4 linked regions of the Lepisosteus oculatus genome follow. The protein of the gene in region 1 purifies or fractionates together with the protein of each later gene. This does not show direct contact. Links are inferred from orthologs where the notes say so. Each region holds a gene or a part of one and is shown in the gene's direction. Other genes may lie near its edges.

Region 1 (7,705 bases):
CATACCTCCCCGAGCCATGAACAGACACTGAAGAGACAGCAGACTCGTGACCTCTCATCCAGCTCACCAGCTCCTTGGAGTCTGACGAAGGCAAAAACACAGTCTGAACTTACAGGGAGTTTACAAGCTGTAGGAAAGCACTTTGTCAATGCAGTGCCTGGGACACAACATAGGAAATATAAAGAACCTTCTCTTTGTTATGAATGGGACTATGTAAGTCTACATACCCTAAATCAGTGCACCAAAAATATGATCCTTCAACATTTTAGTCTGCGGTTAGCAATCTGGAAAGCAAAAAACCTGGATACTGAAACTGTGACAAAGCAGTTCTCTGATCTTATAACTAGCCAATTACCTAATAGCGCAGGGAATTCTCAGCTTAGTGCCATGGACGTGTGTACCTGTATCAAAGCACTTGATGGAGTAGTCGGCCAAAGCCACCAAGTACTCTGTCTTTCGGCGTAGGTTAAAGGCCAAAGCAGTACAAGCCTGCCCAGTCTTCTGAACAAGCCTGAACCTAGGACAGGACGAGAGACCACCAGAAGTGCGACTGCAGAACACAGCTAGGAAACACATCAAGGATAAAAAATAATAATTAGAAATCTGATTTACTTGCTGGCACAGGAAATGCCGGAATGAAATTTTACAACGCAAAGAAATTTGCAAAAAATAAAGAAATCAATGGTTATGAAGGGGATAAGAACTTGATGGCCTAACCCATGTACTCAGCAACCTACTGTTCCTCTGTAACTTTAAAAAGGTTTAATCATATCCAGGTTTTCAAGCACCTCTTGCTTCACAAATGTCTTACAGGCTTCAGTGACTTTAAATGCCCACACCAGGTCATCGCCTGTAACACTAGCTGCTCTGCTTCAAGAACTATTTGCACATTTAACTCTAAACTGGGTAGATATCATATAGTGACAAAGTTCGAGTGGGGAGCTGTGTCAGCATACATTGGTGAAAGTAAAGGTTAATTCTTTATTGAAAAGAAGAAACAATGTTTTGGCTTTTGAGAGGAAGGAGAGAGAGGAGAAGGTTGTACACCTGAAGAACACTCAACACCTGAAATATTGCGTTTCTTTTTTCTCCTTTTTTAGAGTGAATTTAACCTCTATCTTTTCCATTATATTGACAATGCAATCACGATACGGCAGACCAAGACTTCTGTATAAACCAGGAAGGCCGCCTGAACCTTTGCTCCGTTATCAATAGCATCCTGCAATGCAAAATGCTCCTGAGCATGAAATGTTTTCGCCAGTCAATTCTCAACTTGGCAGGTAAACATCTAGTGACAACACAATTCACATTTTCCAAAACAGGCCATCACCTGCTCACCAAAATTCTCCTTCTAAAACTGTTTGTCCAGTGACTTCCCAACTTGCTAGGTATCATTATAGCTTCCACTTATTTTCCTTAAAGAGTTCACTGACATTATCAAAGCAACAGGGTATGGAGTTGCTTGGAACTCTTCAAAAAGGTTGTGATATTCTAGTTATTTATTCCTTTATCAAATGCCTCTATCCAGGTTAATGCCAACTGGATGAGTGCTTGTTTCTTGATGATTTTCGTGACAAATCTGCAAGCACATGGCAGTCCTCACAGCTGAAGGCAGAGAGAGCCCAGGCAGCTGCTCCCGACTGTATCCTATTGGCACTCAGGGCGCTGGGCAGTGCTGCCTGGGTTAGCTAGCATACAGGCAACTTTTATGAGCAACCATCATTCTATCACATCTGATGATGGTCATCACATTGCACTGTAATGGCCCCTTACAAAGATCTTTTTAAATTTACAGGTACTCCAGAGTGGTTCAAATCAGACACGACTGAGAAACAGCATGAAAAACTAAAAGAGTCCTGATGCCAGGAGCTCCAATTAAAAAGCCTGAGGTCAGGTAGCTGTGAACAGCCCAATCCTTTAGGTATCTCACACATCACAGATACGTCATGATAATGTACCTGTTTCTGCTGATATCAAAGACATAGGTATTTCCATGGTGGTCTCCCGCTAAAAACGCTTCCCCTGTTGTGTCGAAGGCAGCCTGCAGAAAACGAACAGTCTTGGAATGGTATCCTGCTGCACTGCGAATCACTCTGATAAGGACCCTGTAAAGGAAAATTAGGATCTCTTATTACCCATTTTAAGGCGCTACTTTATCGTCAGCAAATGAGCCCAGACATTGTCTACACTCGTACAGAGGCCTCATGAAGCTAATACAAAAAATCAGCTCTTTGCAGTCTTTTTTTTAAACACACACCCTTCCCTTGTCCCGTTACAGCATGGATTGAATTGATCAATGAAGACTCAAACACATTTAAACAGATTAGAATCTGAATCTGAAGATCACTAATATACATACTCGTTTATCTCGGTAGGGTGTCATCTGTGCGAGATGCCTTTGTAAAAGAATTCACCCTGGGCACTTTCGTCACTTCAAGTTCAATTTAGTGTTCCATTTGCATCTCACATAGATGACAAACCCTTTGATTTAACACATGGATATCTTCGTGACTTTTCACCACACAATGGTACAATAACGGGCACCCAAAGAGCATTTATTTAGATCACCCTAATAAGTGTATATTACGTCACTGGAATGAATGATAGCTCACTGAACGCAGAAATGGCAAAAGACGTGCAGTTATTACTGCACACCAAGCGGTGGCACCACTGTTAAGAAATACATTTCCCTACGGGATAACACTCAAACTGAATAAATGAATTGTCACTACATGAAGTACTATCCATCAAGTTAAAGTATACACTTTCCGACAGTCTTGAAGTCGGAAGTATGCATGTGGAGACTTCTTTTTACTTTTTTGTGAGTTGTTGGCGTTGTCTTCTCTGGCATAACTATTTCGAATACTTTATTCGCATACACGTTTCCGCAATGATCCAATACAAACAATTGTCTGCTTCATATACGTAAGTAAACTGTTTCATGTTCACTCACACTGCACTTTACGCTAACAATCGTCTTACTTAAACAGATCATGTTGTATGGGTATACATACGCATTAATTCCTCTTGTAGAACACGCGAGTTAACAGGATTAAAATGGACATACGCAATATTGATCTACAATATCATCAGGCAAATGCTAATGCCAATTAGAAATCTTTACAGCGCGATGATAAACTTTGCTCAATCCAGCCTCCTGGAATTATCGAACTAAAAATATGTCTGACAATACATAAATCACATTGCAAAACACACGCCTGAAGGATTTTATAAATCCGTTTATTTGACCACCTGTAAATTCCTGTCTGAGATAAACGATACTAACCCATCACTTGGTGAAGGCGTTGGCTTTCGGTACCAGATTTTCCCACATTCTTTGGTGCCTATATCCGTCGTCTGCATTTTGTTACCTGGAGGACAACCACATAAAACTCAGTTATAGTTTTTTCTCCCAACGGAGTATTGCCACTGCGCCTTCTTGTACTCACCGTTGTGAACCCGGCGGTTACAGTACCGCGAAATTTAAAACGATTCTTAGATACATTCGCGGTGCAATGATTAATAAATTCCTAATGTATATATTTGGTGGCTATACACAAGTACAAGTTTGCATAATTTCTAAAACCGAGTTAACAAAAACTTTCCGAAACGTCTGTTAAAGCTGTAAAGCAGTTTGCAAGTTTGCAAGTAATGCCAGTTTGGTTGCCATTACAATAGGAAGTGACGAACAGGTAAACAGAGAGAGGTGGCTGGTGGGTATTGTAGTTTAAAAGCATTTCCTGCTGTTGCGAGCAGGTAATTCATACTTTGTAAATGTGTGCTTTTTAATATTAAACAAATCCTAAATCCTAAAACAAACCTGAGTGTGTGGCAAATATTACACATGGGGAAACCTGAGATAAACTTTTTTTAAAACAGACTTAATGTCCTTTCAAATATATTGCTTCGGGTTTAGTTTGACAAATTGTACAGCTTATTGTAACGGACACGTCTGATCAGTAAGGAGCTGCTAACTAACCACGGAATCATTCCCCCGTAGCGCGATGATTCAGTGCTTTATAATTGACTTATTACGGTTAAAACATAAGATTACAAGTGCCGATTTATGCGACAAAAATATTTTTAAGAAGGCAATGTCAAATATGTAAAGAAGTATTAAATTAAATTAAACTCACAACCAATGCTTATTTTTAATATCAGCGGGCGATTAGCTGTCAGGAATCTTTTCCAAAACTACTCATTGTATTGGCTGTTAACATTTCAACAAGTGATCTCCCCGGTTGGTGAACCGGCACCGTGTTGTTCGCGTAACCTTGCAAACAGGAAAACAGAAAAATTAAAACGGCCTTTCAAAAAGATTCAAAGATAAAAACAACAGCAAACTAATGACAGATCCTCTGTGATTGACTTGCCACCCGTTCGGAGAAGTCAGACTCGGCTGGAGGTCGGTGGGGCCTACCGCCCCCTTGCGGTCATGCTTGTATAATTAAGACACAGGAAGTGTCGCCCTTTGACAAACTACTCCTGAGCAGCCACGTCAGGGAAACTTGAAGATAGCGAAACGAAACGTTGAGTCCAAAAAGACATTACTGTGCGTCGCGGACAACGAAGAGGGTTTTGTGGGAGATATTTTGGCTTGGATTTGGACTTCATTCGGACTGTTGTATGCATAATTTTCTTGAAAATGTCAGATATCGGGGACTGGTTTAAGAGTATCCCGTTCATCACCAGATACTGGTTTGCTGGGTCAATCATAGTACCCCTAATAGGAAAACTGGGACTCATTAGTCCCGTGTACCTCGTTTTGTGGCCGGAATATTTTATTAACAAATTTCAGGTAAGACAAGATCTGACTCTGCTCAATTGAAACCCCGTTACGCGTCGGTTAATCCTAGAAATGCAAAATAAATTTATTTTTCTACATATGACATCATTATTAAACAACGTTTGACGTTTTAGTTTTCTCTTTACTGCAAAGCGTGGTGATTTTTACTGCCTTTCTGTGTCTGTTATTTATTTTCAGAGTTCAAGGAATTCATTTCAGGGAGTCATTTACTACCTTGACAGACTGGCGTTTCTCGCCGTTTGTAACCTGCCGATATGCATGTTGTTTGTTTTTTACAAGAATGCGGTCGTTATGGGCATTTTTAAATATATTATCGAAATACGGCGGAGTTAAAGAACCAAAACAATGCCGAACAGGGCTTTATTGGCGAGCTAGGCCTGACGAGTGTACGTCCCCTCGATTGACAAGCAAGCTGTCCACTCGCGTGCGCGTCAGTTCCCCGGTCTCCAATGGTGACGCAGCGGCGGTCGGACTTCCGGGAAACCGTGACGCTTTGTGATCGCAAACTAACCCCCAGACATTGAGAAGGATTTGTGTTGGGATACTATGATCCGGGCATCGTTTTTTTCTTGTTATTCATTTACATTTCAAGTGTGGAGGAGTAGGATATGAAAGAAATACTAGAATAAAACGTCTGTATTTTATTAAAGAAAAAAAATACGATTTAATAGCAATCTGCTAATGGTATACTTTCCCATTACGAGATGAGAATAATCGTAATTAGACAAGTGTAAACTGCTGTTGATGTTATAAATATAGTCCCATTATCATCAATCACAACCTTTCTTTACTTGTGATTGATAATAATAGGATTGCATTTATCATTTGTAATGATCTGGTTAGTGCAGCTTGGTGCATTAGGGTTTTCTGTTACAATATAGTCTTTGTCAAATTAGTAATACTGCTGTAGTACTAATGTAAAATACATCACGGATAATGTGCAAGTCATGGTTGCTTACTTTTCTTCCTAGTGGAAACTTAAAAAAAAACAATTAAATGAATACTTGGTAGATAGGCCTGTGTACACTCTCTGAAGTATAGTGCGTTTTGAACACTTATACAAGGTCAGTTAATTCAGGGAAACATGTGAAGGACACAGTGGTTTTCTTGTTTTAAAAGATAATGTATGAATTTTATGGAACGTGCTAACCATCAGTCTACCCAGAGTTAAACATACTGTATGTTAGTTTATAGTAAAATGAAAATTACTTTCAATTTAGCATTGGAATATCAACTGACTTTTCTACTTGATTTCTGAAAGAGTTTTAGATGAATCATTGAGTCAGCATGGAAAAAGTGCAGTTTAATTTGGAGAGAACTTACCGGGTGGAGTGGTGGCCCTGTGGGTAAGGATCTGCGCCTGTGACTGGAAGGTTGCTGGTTCAAATCCCACGGCCGGCAGAGGAATCCTACTCCGTTGGGCACCTGAGCAAGGCCCTTAACCCCAGGTGCTCCAGGGGTGCTGTATAAGTGGCTGACTCTGCGCTCTGACCCCAAGCTTCTCTCTCCTTGTCTGTTCGCCTGTTGTTCTCATGGAGAGCAAGCTGGGGTATGTGAAAAGATAAATTCCTAATACAAGAAATTGTATATGACTAATAAAGAGATCTTAACTCTTTATTACTTAACTGTAACCCTGCTTACAATTATAAGGTATGTGTCATAACATTAAATGCCCACAAGGTGGTGCTGTTAAAACAGATGCTGTATAAGCTGTGATGCAAGACATACATACCTATACTTCTTGGTGATGACTGCATGGAGCTTAGTGTATGGTCAGGAAAATATTTAAAAGATGTAAGACTTTTTGACATTGTGTAAAAGGGGTTAATTGTTTAAAATGCACTTCACGTGCGCTGTGGTTCATGTATCGCAGTTTATTCTGAAGCAGTCCATTAGGTTGACTTTGTCAGTGCCTTTGAATCTTTTGCATGTTTGAATCGGGTCCCCTCAAATCCAAGAACCTACTTGATCACTGTTCTTTGGCAGCAATATTTCTTTTGTGCTGACCCAAATGTTTTAAATGGAGTCCCCCTAACTCATATTCATTGGTTGATATTTTATGCTTTTCTTTATGTATGTTTGAGTGGGCAGCTGCAAAGGAACAAGTAAAGGTTAATTCCACACTGAACAGTAGAAAGAAGAAACCCAATATTTCAGCTGTAGTGCCTTGTTCAGGTGTGAAGAACCTAAAGGAACCTCACACCTGAAACTTTCTACTTTTCCGTGTGGAATTACACCTTACTTGTCTCTTTTACCTGTCTATGTACTACTGTACATGTATAGCTAATAATATTGTTTGCCTGTTTTATTTTTTCCATACATTGCTTGGTGGAAGAAAATGATGCCAACGTAACCTTCAATCTTCTTCGAGATTAGCATTTCACATCTTAAACTAGACACTCTGCTTTTCTGCAGTGTTTTTGATTTTTTTTTGTGTCGATTCTACCATTGCTAACTAGCTTTGATGTTATCTGTATCATTGATATTATGTTAGGAGAAGCAATGGACCTAATGTAGATCCTCGTGGTACTCCACTAACACAGAGCAATAAGAGCATTTATTTAATCTGTATCCTGTTTTCTATCCATCTACCAGCTCAGTCCAAATACTTGCATTCCTTTTGATGCCAACAGCCTTTAGGTTTAGAATGATTGATTGTTTTGTGTAACTTAATCAAAAACATTCTGAAAAACCTAATACTGAAGCCATTATCATGTTTTCATTTTATGGTCATATTAATGTCGAAAGATTACAAGTGAAAATGGTTAAATATTGAAGATGTAGTGTTTATCACAAAACTGATTTTCAGCTCCCTTTCCTCCTCCCATGTTTTGTATTGCTGTTTAGAGTAACCATAATCGTGAAGAAACTGTGAAAGTGCTGTGAAAGATGGATCTT
Region 2 (8,393 bases), on another chromosome or scaffold:
TCTCATCTGAAATGGGTACTTACTAGTTTGAGGGTGTATTTGTAGTCAGCTGTGGGGGCTCCAGTGGTAATCTGTTGAACTGAAAAGAGGTTAAGGAACAGAAGTTTTATTTTAAAGAGGTAAACAGAGGGATGATTCAAAGTTCAACAGTTTCCTGTATCAAATCAACATGTTTCTATTTGCACAGTGTATGTCGGGCGAGAGCGACTAAGGACAAGGATTCCACAGCAGAGATTTATTTTTCATTTCCAACAGTTCAAATACCATTTAAACTTCAGGCTAGAAAATGAGCAAACCCTGCTTAACAAGGTCTAAAATGACTATATTCATACAGCAACACGTATAAAACAAATTGAGCTTTTACTTCACATATCATTATAAACTGGCATCTCGCACTATTCAGAGTGACACAAGGACAACACTGACGATCAGCGGGGCAGTAAAGGACTGGTACTGTATATTATGAATAAGTCAGCTGAAAGAGCACAAAGGTCATGTCCTGCACTGCTCCGGCCTCGCTCACCTCCGTACAAAAGCTCCGAGTCGCTCTGGCGAAGCAGCTTGGTGAGCCTCCACTTCCTGCCCGCGGTGTCCGTCAGCAGCTCGCTCTCCTGGAGGGGCTCGATGCACATCCTCCGCGCTCTCTTGGGCGTGCTTTTGGCTGAGGATTAGGGAAAGAACGATGAAACACTGGGAACTCTGCAAAATCTGCGTTCTGACATTCGATTGCCCCGTCTTCCTCTCGTTCCCTGTTCGGTCCCACGTTGGCGTGGTCTGCACAGCGGAGATGCAGGAAGGCCAGCAGGGTTATTTCCCAAATCAGTTGTACTGGAGCCTCTGAAAGGCCTTCTCTATCTGCAGCGCGTGCCAGCATTGTGGCTGAAGCTCCCCCCCCCCTTTTCCACAGCCGAAGTGTCCACTTACCCCCAAGGGGGGATTTAGGAGAGGGTGAGGCCTCAGCGGTGCTCTCCTCTTCCTGCTTGACTCTTGGGGACGCCTGGCGTTTGCGCGGTGACAGCGGGGCACGGCTAGCTACACAACAGAGACCACGCGTCAGGGCCGTGAGCCAAATGGCTGCTGTGCTTGAACGTGCCCATGTCTAGACGCACAACACATTCAGCAAAGGGAAAGACAAGGAATGCTGTACATGCAGCTGTGCACCACTGCGTTACCTATCTATGAATTGGCTTCATTACTCTGCTCTCCTCCCCACTTATAGCTGATGTGTGGTGAGCGTTCTGGGGCACTATGGCTGCCGTCACATCATCCAAGTGGATGCTGCACACTGGTGGGGGTGGAGGAGATCCCCATTACCTGTAAAGCACTTTGAGTGGGGTGTCCAGAAAAGCGCTATAGAAGTGTAAGCAATTATTATTATATTATTACCGCCCAGTGTCACAACTCACTGCTGCTTCTGGCTGGCCACCCTGCTTACCTCCAGGGAGGCTCTTGGGGGATTTCGATAGGGAGGCAGCTGTCCTGGAGCTGACCTCCTCTTCCACCTTGACCTTGGCGGCCGTCAGCCGTGTTCGGCGAGGTGGAGTGAGCGATGGGGCGTGAGCGGGGCTGCTCTGACCTGCAGAGGAACGAAACACACGTCAGGGTTTTGAAACAGCTGCCCTTGCCCTTGTACCCTGCAGGATGTCTAATTAAACATGCACAGGAGTATGGGAAGGAGCAGGGCAGTGAGGGAAGTCAGAAAGAACAGAGCACAGTGATGTTTAATGAGTCAAGACTCAAACCATGTGAAGACTTGGAAAGCAAAGAGAAAGTGCAATAAAAGCACAACGCTTGAAACACACAGTAAACTACAATATTGGCCCACCAATTTTCACTAATAGCCTTCGTGACATTTTACTTTAACACCGTGAGTTACTCAAGAGTAGCATAATTACCTTCAGAAGTGAAGGATGAAAAGTAACTAAGAGTAAGTGGGTTCATCTTTACTGGAGTGCTATTTTCACAATTAGTGAACAGGAATGAAATGTTGGAAATGCATTGGTTAGAAACTTATTAAACTATATATCTACAGTATATAATGAGTCTCTATCGAGATTTAGGTAAATTGCTCTGTGTAATTCTTAAAAGACACCACAGACACGTCTACTTGCTCTTTTTTGATGGAAACCTATTTACTCCGAGATGGAATGGTAACCATTCCACAGTCATTCAAAAGCCAACCTCCCCCCCGCCCCGTGTAACTCAAATCAAAAGCACGGAGACATCCAAGCACAAGCCGCTTCTCCGAGCGGTGTCTGTCTCTTTCAGCAAGGCGCACGCTGACGTCCCGTACCTGGGGGGTCGCTGGTGGTCACCTGTGAGATCGCTGAGGCTGCAGCCTCTTCAGGGTCCTCAGTGGGCAGCTTCTGTCCGCAGGACGGACAGAACTTGAAGCCCGCCTGCAGCTTGGAGCCGCACTGAGGGCAGTAGTGAAGGATCATGGTGCTAGAAAGAGGAGGAAAGGTGCAGGCTGAAGTTCTGCTAACTGTGATGACTGAACTTCCTTCATGGTTCTAATAATTATTCCTTACACGTCTATAGCGCTTTTCTGGACACTCAACTCAAAGCACTTTTTTACACGTTTAGTTTGGCCCTTAAATATAAACACTTACAGACGATTGCTTCTGGGGGGGTTATATAAAACAGTTTATCGATTTAACTGACGTTTTCATGAAACCGATGATTGCTTAACGTGTTCCTTAATACAAAACCCCGGGTTGCGAGACGTATTTAATTTGTTTTAACTTATTCAGTATGTCTCACATTGTCATAAGCTCAGCGTGATCGACAATTAATATTCATTGCACAGGTCCCTACAAAGATTGACCACTTCTTGTCTGTTAAAATGAAATACATGTTTGTATTTAACAAGACGTACAACAATCGCATATGAAACACTGGTATGTCACTGCAGGACTGAGAGGCGCTGGCTCGCCCTGATTAAGACAAGTATTAACACCTCGGAAGCAGCAGAACTCAATTGCACCGCCACTCAAGTGAGTTTTACTGTGCAAAACAGGCTGCACAGTCACCGAAAAGAGGGCAGATTGTACCTCAAGGTCCAGCGAATCCACAAAAACCGATATAACTTTCCCTCGCCAAACACAACCGTCAACACTCCTACTTGAAGGACTTATCAGTTAACCATGTTGCACGACCAGCTCCAGCCCCTCAGGAACTGGGCCGCCTCGGCGTCACGTGACAATAACACCGCTGTACGTCACAGGACGGGGCGCCGCCTGGGCCAAAATGGTTTGCGCGTCCCGACGTAGCGAAGGCGTTGAAAACGAGACGTGCTGCGATTCGCAAGCGTGACGTTCAATTAATATTTTATAGTTAGTGAAATTTTTGTGACAGACGGTAACCCCTAATTGCAGACACTGCTTTTGTTTTGTAGCCGACTAAGCCACCTCTAGCTTAGTCATTCTCAGGATCTTAGGACCCTTTTCTCTCACAATAGGTTCCTTTTATTAATGAATCACCAGTGTCCCCACAGACAAAACACTTATCCAACATAATTACACCTTTTTATTACAGTTTCTCAATCTACACAGGACCTATGACACTACTTATCCACCAGAGGTACTTCCTCTCAGAACAGTTCCAGGACCAAATGCCCCAAAGGAAAAGTCCGTGTGTCAGACACTGGTCAGTCCACGTCAATTTAAAGTCAGCCTAGTCCCAGAGACCAGCTGTCCCTCACCTGGATTTGGTAACTTTCTGACAATTTGACTTTCTGTTGAAATAATGATTAATACAAAAAGCTATGTAATGACAGAGATACAACAGTCTATGCTGTATTCGTTGGACTATTGGAACAGTTGGAACAGTGTCAGGTCCTGAAGGAATGTTTTTTTTTTGTCTTAACCTATGAAAACTCTCCTGCTTGCCTTTGGGAGGAGAGGGGAAACAGGTCTGAAAGACAACATCAGAGCTCATCATGTCTCTGGGGAGAATGAATGGCACCAGCTTCTAATCTCGGTTTTTCTCCAGCCAGGCAGTTCTGCTTTCAAGTCTCTCTTAAAATATTTACTCCCAGAGTGATCCAAGCTGCCACAGCCTTTCTTACGAAATGGTTCAGGGCCGTCTGCTCTTCGCCACTAGCCGACACCAGTTTCAAAACCGAGCATTTTGCATAGGAGATCTATGAAAATAAGAATTTGCATAGAAAATCTATGAAAAGTAAGACTCTGGCGACATATATAAAAAATATTCTGAAATAAGGGGACACAAACCCTTATCCCCTGCGCTCACGGAAGTGATGCGAGTGATTTTGAAATTCAAAAAGTAAAAAAAAAAGATAAGTCTTACATTATAGAACTGTGTGTTGCGGAACTCATCATTCCCATAATTCCCCATATTCATTATTCCTTAATTCTCCTCTTTCTTTTTTGTGGTAAATTAGTAGGATTAATGTAAGAACTTTATTGGATGAGCATTTCCAAACTTAAGAATAGTTAAAATTAATTGTTATTGTAACCTAAAATATCGATCACAACAATGGATTATCCATTAAATTCTAAGAGAGTATTTGGAAATGTTTTTTTTTTAGTTTCTATTGACTAATCTGTCACGAATTAGCGACTCTATGGCAGCACAACCGGAAGGAGGGCTTGAGTGACGCTGACGCAAACCGGAAAAGAGGAGCTCAGATGGAAACTCCGAGAATTAGAAACTGGAGACGGACTGTGGAATAAAAATAAACACTGCCAGACTCGTTTTGCATCTACTGAGAGGACGAGTAGAGAAAAGAGTGGAGGAGACCGAATTTGTAAAAAAGTACGGAGGTCGCTGACATAGTTTGTTCGACCCTGGCCGGTGCCAAGTCAACTAAACCTTACCCGCATCACAGTGGAGGGAAAACGTATCAGATGGACTCTTAAAAAAGTGTATTTAATCTTAAAATAACGTCTGCATCTAGTCGTCGGGGCCGCGGTCCTCAAGCAGCTGTGAAACCGTTGTGCTGTCAGCCTGTCGAAGCTGTTGTGTTGTATAACAGGGCCACGGAAGGATTGTGCAAGTCTGCTGCTGAAGCAGTAACTGGATCCATCTGGAAACACTAGTAATATCGAGGCCAGAGAGTAAGAAAAAACCGCCCCGTTTTTACTCATTAGCAAAAGCAACACAAGTGCCTGCAGTTATCCGAGAAAATCATCAGGATTTAGCAGGGTTACAACACCCCCATGTCGCAGAATGCGATATATCGACAACAACTTTGAACTGGCTTATCCTCATGTAGTCCGTCCGGCCTGAATCTGTCACTCTTAATTAGTTTGACTGGGTTTTTTTTTTTACAACGTTTTACTTCAATAAAAAGAACCAATTTAAACCGTTATTGATCGCATCTCCGCGGTGTCGAGTCCGTGAAACAAGGTATTGAAACCGATTGTATTTATTGAACTCGGAGCCGGTCGAGCGCCAGGATGCCGTTGCTGTTCCTGGAGCGGTTCCCGTGGCCCAGCCTGCGGACCTACACGGGCTTGAGCGCGGTCCTGCTGGCTGGGAGCATCCTCAGCGCCTACAGCACGGTGACCGAGCCGGGCTACAGCCTGCCTGAAGCCGGAGACCCCCACCCCAGCCCGGGTCAGGACGAGAACCAGATTGACGGCGTCGGGAACGGAGTCGCTGCAGATGTGCTGTGGTACCTCGTTTCGGACAGCTTTTTTGTTTGGGTATGTAGGTAGACAAAACAGGAATCCAATGCAGATGGGTATTGTGTTTTACGTTATTCATTTTAAAGGGGTGGCATGTGTTCATTTCTTATTTTCAAATTAAATTGACAGTGTCATTCTAACTGTGATGCCGTTGTTCGGTTCCCGTACTCCTGTTGAGAGTATTATTTATTTATCTGCTGCCTTTCAAGTTAAAGTATCTCAAGGTGCTTTGGTCACCACTTTATAAAAATATATTTCTGCTCTGGGATCAGCCTAGGTAAGACCTTTTTTGTCTTGGAACAGAGAAGACTTCAAGGAGCCTGATTCAAATTTTAGAAATCTTCAGTATCAACAGTGCAACATGAACCAGAGAGCACAAATGGAAACTGTGTGAAAGTGCATTTAAAACGGTAAAACAGAAATAGACACCTAACAAGCCAAATTGTTTGACTGGACTCGTTTGGCTTCTCGCCATTCTTAATATTCTGAAGTTCCAGGGTGCAGTCCATGAATGCCAAGTGATTTAACTAAAATTAGGACTAATCGGAATACCAGCAGTGCTCAAGTTTCCACAGGCATGGGAGCTGATGAGAACAGTCAATGTTTATTTGTTGCAGAAAAAAAAAAAACATGACTTCATGTCAACTGAACAATTCGATCGTGCAGGAGCTTGGATTAACTTCAGATTTTGTGCAAACAGATGTTGAGTGGGTTTCTGTAACCGTGCTAAGTGGCTGTATGTTTACTGAGCACATTTGTTGCTTTACGCTAAACTACTGAAGAGGTTACATGTAAGGTGATGCCACATGGATTACAGTGTAGATTGTTTTTGTACCTGTGACTCTGTTTTACCCCCACAACACAGGTCCTGGTAAACACAGCGTGTTGCTTCCTGATGATGATTGCCAGAATGATTCAGTACATGGTGTTCGGCCCCCTGAGAGTCAGTGAGAGGCAGGTAATGAGAATCGGATTTCTTTTCCTTTTCACACCTGGAAAATTGAGAGGTCTAAAATTCATACTTATGATAAACTGTAGTGATTCAATTTTAATTGTGCGCAAAACTAAGCAGGCACCTTTTCTGTGATTTTGTTACGCAGGTATGCTCCTGTTTTGAAAATGTTGTGGGTTTTCAAGACATCTAAGTAAATAAGTGTGCAACAGCATGTTTACACAGTTACAGCAGAGTGCATCAGTATTGCATCACGAGATTGTCAAGAGGATTCCGGTTTAGTAAAAAGGCTGCATGATGTCAGTCTTCATGCTGAGATACACATATAAGTTACATTAGGCTTAACTCGGTTTTCTCAAGTTTATTTAAGTGGTAATGTGGACAATAAAGTCTGTTCTGTTAATCATTCACAAAACGCCTAGAGATTTGGTAACTGAACAACTTTAATCCCCTGAGAAGCCTCTCAGACAGAGCTTGAATGTGATGGTTTGGTCTGACTTTTCTCAGTCTTTTAATTATTTAGCTGTGAAGTTTATGTATTGAATGCAACCTTCTGATTAATTTAAGTAATGGTTGAATCTTTTTTATGGACTGAATTATTATAGCTAATAATTTTTAACTTTATCAGCCACGTGCCATTTTAGCTCCAACACCAAAAGAAATGCCAGCTAAACACCGAAGCAACCTTACAACATTCTGTGATTGCACGAGTGTTAGCAAAGCTGTTAAAATTGTTGATGTGAGCCTTAGCATCTGTCCGTCAATCTCTGCAGCACCTGAAGGACAAGTTCTGGAACTTTATCTTCTACAAGTTTATCTTCATCTTTGGCGTGCTGAATGTGCAGACTGTGGAAGAAGTGGTCATGTGGTGCCTTTGGTTTGCAGTGCTGGTCTTTCTGCATCTCATGGTCCAGCTCTGCAAAGATCGGTTTGAATATGTAAGTAGCACTGGACCATTCAAAAAGTCAGGTGTGTGCTGTTATTTGCTATGCAGTCTGTGCCCCGCAAGGCCAGCTCGTTAGACAAGCGATCTTTTGGAAGTCCATGAGGTGTATTTCCCGTCTTTAGTTTAACCCTCATTTTTAATGTCTTATGACTGGTGTCACCTTATAGCAGCTCCTCTGGTTTAGATGGTGGGATGTGTAAAGCAATCTGAAAGTACGGCTATTAACTTTTGTTGAAGGAAATCTGCACCATCCTGCAGACGTGCCAAATCCTTGCATACAGTGATTTTGTCACTGGGTCACATGAAACGGTCTTAGAAATGGACGGGAGGGGACAGAACCCCATGTTCTTCATGCTCTGTGTGCTCCCCAGCTGTCGTTCTCGCCCACCACCCCCATGAGCAGCCACGTGCGAGTGCTGTCCCTGCTGGTGTCCATGATGATCTCCTGCTGTGGGCTGGCTCTTGTCTGTGGGCTAGTGGGGCTGTCCCATGGAATGCACACTGTGGCCTTCATGGCTGCTGAGGTACGACCAGTCTCCTCCTAAATTACTCAACATTGATCGTCTCTCGAGGATAGAGCTTTCTCGGCATTTTGTATTGAAAGAAATTTCAAGTAATGCACATAATCCCACAAGTTTTGCTTACAAGATATAAGAGTTTGAAGTGTATTTTCATGATGGATTTTACCCTTTGTGCTCTACATCACATAATACTTTTGTGGTTAATTTTTCAAGAGGCAGTCTTAAGCCAATCTGGGGATATTTTCAGATATGTTTACATACGCTAGTTAAGGAATCAGCTGACAGATTCAGGGTGTAGTTTGGAAATAACTGTATGTAAG
Region 3 (7,312 bases), on another chromosome or scaffold:
GCGATCCCACGCGAAGCCACGGGCGATGCGTCCCAGTGTTTCTGTCCCGCGGTCCTGGACAGCTGTCCCTCTCCCGAGCCGCACGGAAACACGGCCCCGGGGGATACCGGAGCGTCACGACCGCCCCCCCCCGCTGCGCTTACCTCTCCGGCGGCCGCGGGAAGGCCGAGACTCGGCAGGAGGAAACCAAAAAACCCCGAACAGGAGAGACGACGTGTTCCGGGCTCCGAGAGGTCCGGTCCGGTGGTCGGGTTTCAACGGGGCTGCGCCGGCCGTCCAGCCGGAGCCCCGTCAATAGATCCACGCACACGCACACGGACACCCGGAAAACGGGTGGGAACGGCGCGCTGTGTCTGCTCTTGTCTTGTCTTGCCTTGTCTGTGTCTTGTCTTCCCTGGACGCAGAAACATCGACCGCGGAGATCAACAACAACAACAACAGCGGCGGCGGCGGATCGAGTCCGTTCCGTGTCGCCGGCGGGAGGAGGAGGAGGAGGGACCCGTTCGCGGCGGGGCTGCGCCGGGCGGTACCGGTACCGCTCGGTGCCGCTCGCTCCCGTGTCGCCGGTCGGCGGGGTCAGTCCGGCAGCATGGCGATTACAGGACACTCAGGCCCCCCAGGAGCGACACGAGCACGCAGGGAGACGGGGGGCAGATCGCACGACAGGAGAGCCGCGGGGCGGCGATGAAAGAGGCCATCTCTCTCTCTCTCTCTTCCTCTCTCTCTCTCTCTCTCTCTCTTCCTCTCTCTCTTTCTCAATACAATTCTCTCTCTCTCTCTCCTCTCTCTCAATTCAATTCTCTCTCTCTCCCTCTCTCTCTCTCGCTTCACCGAGACACCGGGTCCTTGGTTACTGTTGCTATGCAGCTGCGGAGGCTGCGAGGCGCCGGGGGGGACGGGACCGGACCGGACATGGCCGGACCGGGCCGGAAGGTGCCGGTTGTGACTGAGACCGGCCGGGTCCGAAATGCGCACAACCGGCCTTTTTGTCACATTTCGGAAAAACAAACCCAACGGAATTGGTGGAGAGAGAGAGAGAAGGAGGGAGGGAGAGAAAATATCAAATGTATAATAACCCCCATACAATTAATAAACATCATCATCATCATCATCATCATCGTCATCGTCGTCGTCGTTGTTATTATTATTATTATTATTATTGTTGTTGTTGTTGTTGTTGTTGTTACAAGGCTATCGGGTCGCACTGAGCAGCTTGTTCAGAATCAGCCCGGTGGTCAGACACCCTGTTACTGAAAACAACCGCCGCTGTTCATAGATACAGTATATAGACACACACACTCACACACTCTCACACAAACACACTTACACACTCTCATTCTCTCACACACACTCTCACACCCACACACAACCTCACACTCTCACACAAACACACTTACACACTCTCATTCTCTCACACACACTCTCACACCCACACACAACCTCACACTTTCACACACACTCTCACACACACACTCACACCCACACACAACCTCACACTCTCACACAAACACTCTCACACACACTCTCACACCCACACACAACCTCACACTCTCACACAAACACACTTACACACTCTCACACTCTCACACACACTCTCACACCCACACACAATCTCACACTCTCACACACACTCTCACACCCACACACAACCTCACACTTTCACACACACTCTCACACACACACTCACACCCACACACAACCTCACACTCTCACACAAACACACTTACACACTCCCACACACACTCTCACACCCACACACAACCTCACACTCTCACACAAACACACTTACACACTCGCACACCCACACACAACCTCACACTCTCACACAAACACACTTACACACTCTCATTCTCTCACACACACTCTCACACCCACACACAATCTCACACTCTCACACAAACACACACTCTCTTTCACACTCTCACTCTCTCTCACACATTCTCTCACACACACACAGTCTCACACACACGTGTAGGGGTCGTCTCCAGGCCAGCGTGTCTGCGAGTGTCTTCCTCGCTCATCCAGTGGGAATCCGCCCTACATCCCGGCCGCTTCAAATTCCTCCCACAAAAAGGGACCTCGTGCAGGAAGGGCGCCACAAGAGAACATTTCTGTTTCTTCAGCTGTTGCCGAGCGGGAGTCCACACGTACACGTCTCCGCTCTGTTCCCGTCCCGCTGAGTCAGCGGGAGTCAGCGGGACGGGAACAGAGCGGAGACGTGTACGTGTGGACTCTTTGAATGCGCGTCTCCCGGGGGGGTCGCACGGACGCCTGGTCGGGGGGGGGGGTGAATCTGACTCGCAGGACACGCGTGTGCCGGACAGCGATGGACACCGACGTATCGAGCGAGGAAATAGGCACGTATAATCGGGCGCGGAGCTGGAAACAGGGTCCGACCAGAGCGAGTCCGGCCCAGCCCAGCCCGGCCCAGGCCCGGGGGATTCTGGACGGGTGGAGCGGGACCTCGGCGGCGCACACCGGCGCGCTGGTCCCGGGTCCAACCCCCGGGGGCGCTGTCTGTGTGGAGCCTGCATGTTCTCCCCGCGCTCGCGTGGGATTGCTCCCGCGGTCCGGTCGCTTCTCTGAAGAAATGACCCTGGTGTGTGTGTGTGTGTGTTCAGTGACGGACTTGTGTCCCGTCCAGGGTGTTGTCCTGCCTTGCGCCCGTTGCCCGCTGGGATAGGCTCCAGCACCTGGCCAAAGCGACGGACCCGAGAGGGGGGAGAGGCCAAAAGCCTGCTGGGAAATGTAGTTTTGTCACCTGGGCCTGTCGGGGCGAAGCGACCGTGCTCGCGGCCTCCGTTCTCGCCATTACTTACCCAGCTGTCCAGCGGCAGAGCTGCAGAGTGACGGACATCCGCGGCGTCCAATCGCCGGGGCAGGTCGGGCGATACCGCCCCTCCCCCACCCCGGCGCCCCGCCCACCTGCCCCCCGTTTGAGGCGGCGAGGCCGAATTGAGTGGCGTGACGTCTACCCAATCGCCTTTAGAAAGAGAGGCGGTTCTCCGGCAGCTCGTCCAATCATGTCCCAGCGAAAGGGGCTCAGGTTTGAGTGGCGGCAGGATTGTCCAATGAACATCCAGATCCGATGTCGGAGGGAAGGATGCTCGCTGGTGGGCTACCGTACACTGTTAAAACCTCGTTTCCACATTTCAGCGCAAAGAAAGATCGTCTTAGCTCCGTCTACTTAACACTTCTTTCCAAAGACGCTGGAAAACCGAGTCACTTCATACACGCTAGAGCAGTGTCGTCTCGTCCTGTATAGAAGAAAAGTTGCACACAAATGTCGGGATGAACGTCTGTTTAATTAAATTCATGATACAGACACATTATTCATGAATATGGATTTAATTTAAATAGACAGATAGCTCCAATCACGTGTAGGAGTTTGATACACTTTGATGAACTGGGGTCTTTTGTTTCTGACAAACCTGACAACGTTTCTCCTTCTCTCACGGCAAAAAAACACAGTACAGCGCAGTACAGCCCAGTAGGATCAGGGTAAAAACACAGTACAGTGCAGTAAAGCCCAGCGAGATCAGGGTTAAAAGCACAGTACAGCGCAGTAAAGCCCAGTAAGAACAGGGTAAAAACACAGTACAGTGCAGTAAAGCACAGTAAGAACAGGGTAAAAACACAGTATAGTGCAGTACAGCCCAGTGAGATCACGGTAAAAACACAGTACAGTGCAATACAGCCCAGTGAGATCAGGGTAAAAACACAGTACAGTGCAGTAAAGCACAGTTAGAACGGGGTAAAAACACAGTACAGTGCAGTACAGTCCAGTGAGAGCAGGGTAAAAACACAGTACAGTGCAGTACAGCCCAGTGAGAGCAGGGTAAAAACACAGTACAGCGCAGTACAGCCCAGTGAGATCAGGGTAAAAACACAGTACAGCGCAGTACAGCCCAGTGAGCTCAGGGTAAAAACACAGTACAGTGCAGTAAAGCACAGTAAGAACGGGGTAAAAACACAGTACAGTGCAGTACAGTCCAGTGAGAGCAGGGTAAAAACAGTACAGCGCAGTACAGCCCAGTGAGAGCAGGGTAAAAACACAGTACAGCGCAGTACAGCCCAGTGAGAGCAGGGTTAAAGCACAGCACAAGTGTGGGGAACCTGAATATGATAAAAACAGAGCGCAGGATAAACGCATTTCTGAAAGAATCGCGACCCATTCATGCTCGACGCCAAGCCGGGAGGCGCCTCTACTCGGTGAATTACGGGCCCGGCGTGTCACCGGCGGAAACCGGAAGAGACCGGAGGCGAGCGAGCGAGCGAGCGAGCCAGGCAGGTAAACAAACATGGCGGCGGAGCCCAGGCGCACGGCGGACAGCGGTCCGGCCGAGGACGGCGACCGGGGCGGGACGGGAGGCGGGCTGGGCCGGGACACGGAGCGCGACCGGGCCACCTTCGAGTGTAACATCTGCCTGGACACGGCCAGGGACGCGGTGATCAGCCTGTGCGGACATCTGTTCTGGTGCGAGCTGGGGTCGGGGCTCAGAGGCAGCGACACTGTCTGTGTGTGTGTGTACACAGAGGGGGGTGGGGGTGGGGAACAGGCTGCCAAGCCCTGTGGTTGAAGCCGATACCCTGGCTTCTCTCCAGACACAGCTGGGTGAGCTCCTCCAGTCAGGACAGGAGGCTCTTCTGTACACAGAGGGGGGTGGGGGTGGGGAACAGGCTGCCCAGCCCTGTGGTTGAAGCCGATACCCTGGCTTCTCTCCAGACACAGCTGGGTGAGCTCCTCCAGTCAGGACAGGAGGCTCTTCTGTACACAGAGGGGGGTGGGGGAGTGGAACAGCTGGATGAATTCCTCTGATCAATTAGCTACTGACCCACCAAACGGGTCTAATGTGCATAGTGACTTCTTGTTTGTAACCTTTCTGAAATTAAATGCAAATCTCTTTGCTTTCTTTCATGAAACAGCTGGCCATGTCTACACCAAGTAAGTGTTTTTTTAATTTCTTCCTTGGTGTATGTTTAATGTAACTTTCAGTCAGTTTGTCTCTCTCCCAGTACAGTGTTCATGTACTGGAGTGTCCAGTCAGTGTGTCTGTATGAACCCCTCTCTCTCTCAGTGCAGTGTTCATGTCCTGGAGTGTCCAGTCAGTGTGTGTGTGTGAACCCCTCTCTCTCAGGTCAGTGTTCATGTCCTGGAGTGTCCAGTCAGTCTCTCTCTCTCTCAGGTCAGTGTTCATGTCCTGGAGTGTATTAACCCCTCTCTCTCTCAGTGGTTGGAGACCCGCCCCAGCAGACAGCAGTGTCCAGTGTGTAAGGCCGGGATCAGCCGGGAGAACGTTATTCCTCTGTATGGAAGAGGGAGCTCAAGTCAGGATGACCCACGGTACTGTCCTGTCCTGTCCGTTGTGTGTCCACTGTGCGCCAGTGTCTGTCTGAGTGAAGTGGGGCAGGTTTTTAGTGCTCATAGACTCCAGCTGCACAGCAGTCCCTTCCTTTCCAGGTTTTACATCTGACCCGTTGTCTAGTGGTAACAGTCGGACCACAGAGCACTGCGAAACCCGGTCTTCTGAAAGACTCAGGAGGTTTCCTGTTTTCCAGTTGTTGGTATCTTTGCTCAGCTTCATGAATTAACTCTTTCTTGGTGTTTTTATAGATTGAAAACTCCTCCTCGACCTCAGGGACAGAGACCAGAGCCGGAGAGCAGAGGGGTGAGTCACTGAGTCAGGGTGTCTGTATGAACCCCTCTCTCTCTCAGTGCAGTGTTCATGTACTGGAGTGTCCAGTCAGTGTGTCTGTATGAACCCCTCTCTCTCTCAGTGCAGTGTTCATGTACTGGAGTGTCCAGTCAGGGTGTGTGTATGAACCCCTCTCTCTCTCAGTGCAGTGTTCATGTACTGGAGTGTCCAGTCAGTGTGTGTGTATGAACCCCTCTCTCTCTCAGTGCAGTGTTCATGTACTGGAGTGTCCAGTCAGTGTGTCTGTATGAACCCCTCTCTCTCTCAGTGCAGTGTTCATGTACTGGAGTGTCCAGTCAGTGTGTCTGTATGAACCCCTCTCTCTCTCAGTGCAGTGTTCATGTACTGGAGTGTCCAGTCAGTGTGTCTGTATGAACCCCTCTCTCTCTCTCAGTGCAGTGTTCATGTACTGGAGTGTCCAGTCAGTGTGTCTGTATGAACCCCTCTCTCTCTCAGTGCAGTGTTCATGTACTGGAGTGTATGAACCCCTCTCTCTCTCTCAGCCCTTCCAGGGTTTCGGTGACACTGGGTTCCACATGTCCTTCGGTATTGGTGCGTTTCCCTTTGGTTTCTTCACTACAGTCTTCAACACCAATGACCCGTTTCACCGCGCAGGTACAGTGTGTCTCTACAGGAGTGTGTGTGTGTCTATACAGTGTGTCCAGTAAGAGTCTACAGGAGTGTGTGTGTGTCTATACAGTGTGTCCAATAAGAGTCTGTACAGGAGTGTGTGTGTGTGTCTATACAGTGTGTCCAGTAAGAGTCTGTACAGGAGTGTGTGTGTCTATACAGTGTGTCCAGTAAGAGTCTACAGGAGTGTGTGTGTGTCTATACAGTGTGTCCAATAAGAGTCTGTACAGGAGTGTGTGTGTGTGTCTATACAGTGTGTCCAATAAGAGTCTGTACAGGAGTGTGTGTGTGTGTCTATACAGTGTGTCCAGTAAGAGTCTGTACAGGAGTGTGTGTGTCTATACAGTGTGTCCAGTAAGAGTCTACAGGAGTGTGTGTGTGTCTATACAGTGTGTCCAATAAGAGTCTACAGGAGTGTGTGTGTCTCTACAGTGTGTCCAGTAAGAGTCTGTACAGGAGTGTGTGTGTGTGTCTCTACAGGAGTGTGTGTGTCTGTACAGGAGTGTGTGTGTGTGTCTCTACAGGAGTGTGTGTGTCTGTACAGGAGTGTGTGTGTGTTGTGCTCTCAGTATCATGAGGTTATATAGCGACTCTCCAGCTGGAATCTGTTCTGATTTGGGGGTTCTCTTCCTCGCCCCCAGATACTCCCCACCCAGGCGGCGGTTACCCGGACAACGGTAACCCCGGCAACGGCAACAGCTGGCAGGACTCCCTGTTCCTCTTCGTCGCCATCTTCTTCTTCTTCTGGCTGCTGAGCATCTGAGGGCGGGGGGCCGGGGGGGCCGGGGGGGCGGGCGAGGTGTCGTCCTGCGGGGGGGCGCCCCCCCCTCCCCTGGCGTGTCTCGACCCCTGACCCCTCTTGTATTAACACGCCCGCCGCGCGCGGTGACGCGCTTGTGCGTGTGGGCTCTGCGTCCGCGCCGCTCCAGAACCGGAACTCGGTCTCGGTACCGCCCCCCCCCCCGGCCTGTCCCAGAATCCCCCTC
Region 4 (8,134 bases), on another chromosome or scaffold:
ATGTTATTCACAGATTTGCACAGCTGATGTGTATTAAAAGTGTATTATTCCTTCCTTATCTAATACGTGTGTATTTACAGCATTGAAATTTGCAGGTCATTTAGAGGCCATCATGGACATTTGTAATTAATGCATCAAGAGGGCTCAGTAGTGGGCTTTGTTTCTGAATTAAAAGTGCACATTAAGCGAGTTGGTTTTCACCCTCGATAACTAACATGTAAGAAGAGAATAAAATTCACAGAAGCATGGATATATATACAATATAACGTGGATGTTGAATTAATACATTACAACTGTGAAATACTTAGCACCATGTTACTTTGTACATAGGCTATTGAAATTACATGGGATGATACATGTTTTTCCTAAAACATGATCTTGCACTGTTATTGTGTATGTGTAAGATTTCTTTTCAATGACATATATATAATATATATAACCATATAATATATACTCTTGTTTACTTGAATCTATTAAATGGTATTTATGTAAAAATGCATAAAATATGTATTAAGATATTATGGAAATAAAGTACTCCATGAAATGATATAATTAACATTTGGTTTCAATTTATTGATTCTTCCATAATACAGTATATAATAAACAGAGATGGAGGGTTTGGATAAATTATAATACATAATTCACTGAATTCCTGAGTTACTAATTTTAGTTAGATAATAGAAATTATTCTAAAAGAAAAATAGTTTATTTTTACTGACATTTTATAGCAAATCTATTATACTGGTTCGGAGGAAAGTGCATCGATGCCTTCAGTCTAGTACAGGTTTTATTCCAACCCCAGGGGTGCCCATTCCTCGGTTGTACCTCTAACACCGGGGATCCAAACCCTTCATCTCTGTTCCTCAAGATTTAGTCCTTATAACCTGGTCCTGAAGATCCAATTACATGTTATACGATATTATTATTGGCTTTATTACATGCTTTTTCACTAATTGAAGATACCTTTAAATGATTATTCATCCAAAGGATTCGCTTAGGAATTCATCCTGGTTAACTGAGGTAGGTGTGTTACCCACAGGAAAGATGTCTTTCTGCACCGCCTCGGAATGGGTGACTGGTAAAGGCAATCTTGACATATCTTCAGCATTTCTCTGCAGAGCTGATTTTGTATACTTTCTTTCATAGGTGCATGCGGAGAAATGTCGCATGCCGCTCGCAGCCATGGAGGGAATGCATACTGTATGTGAACTCCAGATATTGACCTCAGGCGGCACTAACCAGTGAGAAGTGTGAACTTCTGTCCAAACATGAACCAGTGGAATTTCCAGTGCATCACGTTTAATCTGGGCATGGTTTCTCTTGGGTACACTGGGTACAAGGTTCATGATGCAAAAGCAATGGGTCTCTCTTCTCCTGAAGGCATAATGTGCGATACCTCTGTTCTTACAACATAAGGAGAGGCATCATATACCATTTGGAGAGGTAAGGGTGGGTCAAAAGACCTCTGAATTTAGCAAGGATTCCTTACATTTGTGAAACATAGTATTACAAGCCTCTGTCCATTTCCAAGTTTGTAACCACTGAAATGTTCATTTAATGTCTTAAGAGTGCTTGCTGTGTGGAATGAGTCTTCCACAATACTTTAGTAACCCTAGGAAAGAGAATAGGTGGCTTACTTTTTGAGAAGAAAGAGCTTCTCAGAAATTAGATTCTAAATAGAATCTAAAGATAATCAATAGCACTTAAAGTATAATCAGAAGGTATTCTTGGAGTTCTGTGACCATTTTGTGTTTCAATTACTTATCCACCCTGTTGTGTTTGTGGTCTACTCTGACAAATATCAGACAGGTGATCAACAAAATGATCAACTAACGCATCTGGGAAGGTATTATTCGGAATATAATTTTAAAATTATAATAACCAAACCCCCAATCCCTGTTGTATCTCCTCAAAGACTAGGATAAAAAGATAGAAGTATAGGACCAGCTCCTTTTTCCCCCTTGCAGGAGGGCTGTTCAAGCAGATTGACTGCTTGAAATCAACCAACAGGACAGTAGCAAGCATCAACAGAAACAGGAAGTAGATCAGCGCCTTTCCCAGGAAGGTTGTGAAGGGTGTAAACCAGAACTGACCAGCTGGCCACAACATAGAGATAAAGCTTGTCCTGATAGACTGAGAAAGAGCCAGTGGGAGAGTCCACAGAGGAGAGAAATAGAAACGCTTACAGACCTGACTTTACTGGCATTACTTGTGTTGTCTACTAGAGTTAAGACAGTTCAGGTCTGACCCTGAAGGCTGTGGGATCGGCCAATTACAGTACTTTATCAACATACAAAATATCCATTGAATAAAGTCGGATCAAGATTTTCAATCTTTGCTGGACTGGGGCTGGTTCTAGAATAAGCGGTCCAGGCCCATAATGAATCCTTTAGTGAAGTTTATGAACTCATTATATAAGAAACAGCTGAGGGAAAGAGAGATGTCAGCAGCAGTAAACCAACATGAACATGATCAAGATTGTTGTGAGAAACAGATACAGGCAAAAATACAGATAATAAAATAACACATACACAATCAGAGGTCTGAGCATTATCCTGAAGATATGAGCATAACACCATTAGCAACATTTTTGTTGTTGTTACAGTGTTACCATTTTGATTCATGTTTACATGGAACCTTTGGAAACAAAGAATGAGCAGGCTGAAATATGTAAGCAGTTCCCAGTAGCACTGGCTTTTGGATTTCCTCAATGTGGACTTTTCCAGGACCATACTTTGTTCTCCAGTCTAGATTTGAGAGATTGTTGGGATATCAACTGTTTATTTGATATTCCACAGGTTTCCATGTAGGAATGGTTGTCTTGTAAATAAACTGGAACATTTATTAAAGGAATCTCAATACAACGTGTACACCATTCTCCATGCACTGAGGTAAGGGAGGTTCTGCCCAGTACTCACCTTTAGACTTCTCCTTGAGTGATTTGAGTTCCTGCGCTTCTCGACTGCAAACAACACAACATATGGTTACCACGTTGTAAGCACACCATCACACCCTTAAAACAGCAGTCATATACCATTAACATTTAGTAGACTGCTAAAATGCATGGCTTGGTGGTGCAGTGGTTTACTATTCCTGCCTTGTAGCTCTGGAGCCCTGGGTTCAATTCCAGACCTGGGTAGCTATCAGTATGGAGTTCCCTCCATATATGCATGGGTTTCCTCCGGGTGCTCCAGTGTATGCCACCAGTCCAAAGACGTACTGGCTCTTGGTTCCCCTGCAACCCTGCAATGGAAGAAGTGGTTAGAAAATGGATGGCTCACTAATGCACAGCATCATCACATCTCATTAGCACAGCACCAACATGCAATTATCACATGGGAACACTAAGGCACAGCATCATCACACTAGAGACATCTTGAATAGAACTGGAAATTATCATCTTGAGGGCTGGTTTTCATAACATACTGGCTTTTTTTTAGCACTTCCCCTTAGCTGGTAGGATGAGGACAATGACCACTCCTCATAACCACCTCTATAAGATATCTGTTTGTGTTCTGTGCCACTCATCCACAGTCCAAAATGTACATACTGTCACGCCCTCTGCAGCCAGAGGGCGCTCCTTCTCTGACCTGTCCCTAGTTTCCGGTCTGCTGTCCTTCCTGTCCCTCTCTTTCCCTTGGGCTATATATTTCCGGGTCTTGCACTCTGTCCTCGCTCAGCATTGACGTTTGGATGTCCTGAGACCCGCCTAGCACCAGGGCGCCCCACGTCCGCTCCCTGAGGGCATAGGTTTCTATACGGCATTCCTGAACTCTTTGCACTAATGAGCCCGGGCCTTTTTCCCGTCTCGCCGCTACGCATATGGGTCTTTTTCTGCTCTCCTGCTCCCCACGGTTAGTCCCTTTGGACGTCCGTGACACATACTTAAAGCGACACATGGGGACACTTTCTACATGCTTTATGCTGTTATCTGGGAATAGTTCCTTGATTTCTGTGAAATGTGCAGAGAAAATTAAATTACCACTTCACTTTTCAACTCCTCATTTTATATATAAAGAAGATTCATACAAGAATATTGCAATCTACAGTCCTACAGGTAGGTGAAACTGTAAAAAGATATTACATTGGTGGTGGTAGAGGGGAGTCCCCATTACCTATAAAGCGCTTTGAGTGAAGTGTCCAGAAAAGTGCTATATAAGTGTAAGCAATTATTAATAATAATAATAAGAAGAAGAAGAAGAATGAAAATGAAATACTGAAAAAACTTAAAAGAAAAATAAATGTTCAACATCATTCTTACAGGTGAGTGACATTTGACATGAATTATCTGCAGCCCACAATGTGCAGATTGTATCATACAGGCATACCTGTTCTTCCAGCAGTCATTGTGCTCCTAAAAAAGTGCAAAAATATGTTGCTCTATCTAGAAGACACTCAATAATATATTTTTTCATCCTCTAAAATTAACTTTAAAATCAGGTCTATCAGTGAAAAGCAATTTCACTATTTGCAAGAAACACCCTGAAATGTTTACATCTCATTCACCACCTTTTTTACAGTGTAGTGTCCTGATCACTATATTGGGGCACTAGAACCCACACCGAGTGCTGGATGAGCGCCCCCCTACTGGCCTTTCTAATGCCTCTTCCAGCAGCAACTTCGTTTTTTCCCAGGATGTCTCCCATGCAGCCACTGGCCAGATTCACACTAGGTTACCTGTTGTGAGTTGCAGGGTGATATGGCTGCTAGCATTACATCGACCGAATAACATACATGAAAGACGTATTAAACACGTAAGTCCAGAACGTGTACTTAAAAGATTTTATTTTTAATTACTGTTAAGTCTACTCTAGTAATTCGTCTAAATCCTCTTAAGCTTTACACAAATTATACAACTGAGAACTACAAATCCCACAATTCCCTGCTGACACAGGAAGTCTGTGGCAGTGGTGTATGTAGTGGCTTCTTGTAAACATGGAGCATCCTGAAGTTACATTTAGTTTGGCATATGTTGTGTTTGTAGTTTGCTTTGTCTTAACTCCAAATGAATTCCGATCGGCGGGAGTAACAGTACAAAACATTTTTTCGGGTTGGCTTGGGAGCGAAGATCTAGGGTTCGTTCAATATCACATTAGGAGAACTAGTGTTACAATCCTAGTTCATTCCGTGTTGCCACTTGGTAAGTCAAATTTGGATATTTGCTAATAGAAAAACATCACAAATTGGAAACCTTAGTTGGCTTTTTATTTGTTTAAGTTTTAACTAGACAGTTGAGAAACAGAGAAAAATTGTATTTGCTACGAAATGAAAGATCAAAGAATGAGCTTATAAGGAAAAATAATCTCCATTTTAATTACCTCATCTTGTCTGTTAGTTTTTCGAGGTTTTTATTTAATTGTATCACTTTAAATCTACGCACTGTAATTTACGCATTAGCTTCTACCAGAATGAAACAAGACTCGGAAACAGTTCTGAAAATGTTATCAAAAACTAAATCGCATCTCTGAATACTGAGAAAGCCGTGAAACACGACTTCTTAAATCTGAAACTGAAACGTCCCATATGTTTGCATCAGAGCATACCGCTCCAGAATAGGTAGTGTGTAGGGAAAACCGTCTCTCTTAACTGAGCTCGTACCGGGTTGAGGCCCTGGCGCAGAACATACTTCTTTCCGAGTTTCATCAGGTGAAAGCGCTGGCACTCTGCAATTCATCCATATTTAATAGTGAAAGCGCTTAAAATGAATCCCTCTCCACTGAAATGTGTCATCTCCGAACGTTGTTTTATAATGGCCACGTAGTTTTGCTTTAAATATAAATATTTAATATTTATTCAATACAATTAATAGGAAAACATGGACGTGAAGTCATACACTATTTTCCCCCCCAGGTTATTACTTAGGAATGTGCTTGGCAGCGGCGGACAAGAATCTGTGGCGAATTCACCAGGCGAGCGATGAGTGGAGGATCTACTTCGCCGCCGCAGTATCCCTGCCGGTGATAAGCGGCATGCTCGTGTTTTACTGGTCAAGAAATCGGTGGGGCAAACACCCAATATCCAAGACTCTGGCCGCCCACGCCCTGCCTCAGTCCAGCTGGAGGGCTGTGGCGTCCTCTATCAACACGGAGTTCCGCCGCATAGACAAGTTTGCGACCGGCGATCCGGGAGCCAGGGTGATCGTCACTGACACCTGGGTGATGAAGGTCACAACCTATCGCGTCCACATTGCCCTACAACAAGACATCCACCTGACAGTCACTGACTCCAAGCAACACGAGCTGTCCCCAGACTCCAACACACCAGTGCAGATGCTCACCATCTCTGTGGCTAGTGTGAATCCCCGTGTGAAGCCCTTTGATATCAGGTGACAGTCTAGTCTCTATATAGGGCCTTTCATGAAGAAGTATTAAGAATTTACTTTAATTTAGTAAAGGCTATGTATTTAAAGTAAAGGAAAAAACTTAGATCTTAGATGAGGTTTTAAACAGCCACTGATCTAGTTATCTAGTACATAGAGACAGGCCACATAGAGTCAGGGTATTTCGCAAACGTGGGAGTGTAAGAATAAAAAGTTCTGACTCACATGATGTACTGTTACACAGATTTATAGTCTCTGTAAAAGTATTCTTTGTGATTCGGTGTCTGATCTTTCATGATGTTTTCAAGGATGTCTTGTTTAGAATCTACATCATTTACTTAAATGCTGCTAAACCTAAAAAACTGCATTTTAGCAAGGGGGTTGTCTGACAACCCTTTGGTTATGTCATAACGGGATCTTTATAATAAGCAAGTCCAGACCAATTAACACGCAGCCGAAAGGTTCAAAAACACCAGTGCTCTTTAATTCTAGTGAAGGGCATAAAAAATTGGACACCAGGGCTGAAGGAAAATTGGGTTCTATTTGAACTTGAGGGTTTTATTCCAGTTGGGTCATTCCGTGACGGACTAGAACACTTGCAGTGCAGCACAGTCTCCAGTTTTAATTCAACCTGTTAAATATGGTGTTTTCTTTTGGAAACATCCAAGACAAAAAGTGCAGAGCGTACTTTGTAGTCATCTGCTTAATGAGGCCTGACATGAGCACTGGCTCAGAAAAGGAGTGGTGTCAGTGTGTGGGCAGAAGGGGACAAATACAGGTTAATTCCATGGTGAAAAGTAAATATAGTCAAATACACTATCGAGTACGTAGCTGCGTCAGCATGCGTAGGCTGCGTAGCAACAGGTGAAGGTTCATTCCATGCTGAAAGGAAAAGAAAAGAACCGCAGTGTTTTCGGCTGTCCAGCCTTCTTCAGGTGTGGGGGAGAGAGAGAAAGTAGCACTTTGCTTCTCTCCCCCAAGGATAGCAAAGACAGACTAGATAGAGATAGATCAGCAAGGAGCAAAATAGCTTAATTATAACCTGCACTGTCAATTGTGTTTATATGCAATAGGTCCCCTTCTTTTGTTTATACTTTTTATTGTACAGCTCTTTGAGATCTTGTTAAATGTATTTAATAAGATAATCTATTTGATAGAGTATTAGTATTTGTATAGACCCTGCCAGATTCCAAGGACACAGCGGACATCCATGGATACATTTAAGTATTTCAATCGGAGAGGAAGTTGAAACTCCTGCTTTAACTTAGACATTTGTACTGGTTATTTGTGAAAAGCTTCTACATTTGTTTTGTTTTTTCTAGATCTTGGAGCAATTCTTTTTTATTGGAATTTTAGAGGGATAAAATTGAAATGGCTGTTTCTGCTTCAGCAGTTTATATTATTTGTTGAAAGAGCGGAAATGTACTTTTCCACGAACCATTGATTATTTCGAGATCCCCGCAACATGTGCAGGATTGTGGCTTTCAAGGACATGAATAGACATATAGAACTGACAGTCCCAGCTGGGGAAAGAGTTCAAATCGTGATTTCATTCTAACTTGAAGAGCAATGTTTGTATTTCATATTTTTAGTAATTGATTTAATTTTCCAGGTTGAATTCTGCGGAGTACGGTGAGTTGAGGGAAAAGCTTCACGCTCCTATTCGTAATGCAGCCAATGTTGTGATCCACCAGACCCTCAGTGACCTCTTTCTGGAGACATTTAAATCCCACGTGGAAGTGAACGAGAGCTACTCGCTTCCCAGTAACCAGGTAAGACGCTGCAGGGCACAGACTCTGCTGGCTTTTTATTTTG

Evidence for each region.
Region 2: the proteins of derl1 (region 1) and amfrb purify together in Homo sapiens (affinity purification with western blotting; 4 studies listed by BioGRID, with this or other methods). This does not show direct contact. The link is inferred for Lepisosteus oculatus from reciprocal best matches to the Homo sapiens genes DERL1 and AMFR.
Region 3: the proteins of derl1 (region 1) and rnf5 purify together in Homo sapiens (affinity purification with western blotting; 4 studies listed by BioGRID and IntAct, with this or other methods). This does not show direct contact. The link is inferred for Lepisosteus oculatus from reciprocal best matches to the Homo sapiens genes DERL1 and RNF5.
Region 4: the proteins of derl1 (region 1) and tmem129 purify together in Homo sapiens (affinity purification with western blotting; 3 studies listed by BioGRID). This does not show direct contact. The link is inferred for Lepisosteus oculatus from reciprocal best matches to the Homo sapiens genes DERL1 and TMEM129.

The regions. Positions count from the first base shown.
Region 1 is NC_090705.1:10,758,150-10,765,854, forward strand, and holds the start of derl1 (derlin-1), read left to right. Parts: upstream 1-4,444; 5' UTR 4,445-4,645; coding exon 4,646-4,798; intron 4,799-7,705. Other genes in the region: tbc1d31 (TBC1 domain family member 31), read right to left, coding at 1-81, 402-517, 1,959-2,105, 3,287-3,363. UniProt on the Homo sapiens protein: Functional component of endoplasmic reticulum-associated degradation (ERAD) for misfolded lumenal proteins. Forms homotetramers which encircle a large channel traversing the endoplasmic reticulum (ER) membrane.
Region 2 is NC_090715.1:3,657,831-3,666,223, reverse strand, and holds the start of amfrb (E3 ubiquitin-protein ligase AMFR), read left to right. Parts: upstream 1-5,041; 5' UTR 5,042-5,423; coding exon 5,424-5,672; intron 5,673-6,519; coding exon 6,520-6,612; intron 6,613-7,379; coding exon 7,380-7,544; intron 7,545-7,923; coding exon 7,924-8,076; intron 8,077-8,393. Other genes in the region: serine/threonine-protein kinase VRK3, read right to left, coding at 24-79, 524-661, 925-1,032, 1,436-1,576, 2,294-2,441. UniProt on the Homo sapiens protein: E3 ubiquitin-protein ligase that mediates the polyubiquitination of lysine and cysteine residues on target proteins, such as CD3D, CYP3A4, CFTR, INSIG1, SOAT2/ACAT2 and APOB for proteasomal degradation.
Region 3 is NC_090709.1:39,110,728-39,118,039, reverse strand, and holds the start of rnf5 (E3 ubiquitin-protein ligase RNF5), read left to right. Parts: upstream 1-4,297; 5' UTR 4,298-4,301; coding exon 4,302-4,477; intron 4,478-4,926; coding exon 4,927-4,945; intron 4,946-5,231; coding exon 5,232-5,344; intron 5,345-5,614; coding exon 5,615-5,669; intron 5,670-6,199; coding exon 6,200-6,311; intron 6,312-6,967; coding exon 6,968-7,089; 3' UTR 7,090-7,312. UniProt on the Homo sapiens protein: Membrane-bound E3 ubiquitin-protein ligase that mediates ubiquitination of target proteins. May function together with E2 ubiquitin-conjugating enzymes UBE2D1/UBCH5A and UBE2D2/UBC4.
Region 4 is NC_090696.1:34,284,860-34,292,993, forward strand, and holds the start of tmem129 (E3 ubiquitin-protein ligase TM129), read left to right. Parts: upstream 1-4,901; 5' UTR 4,902-4,935; coding exon 4,936-5,140; intron 5,141-5,850; coding exon 5,851-6,325; intron 6,326-7,931; coding exon 7,932-8,091; intron 8,092-8,134.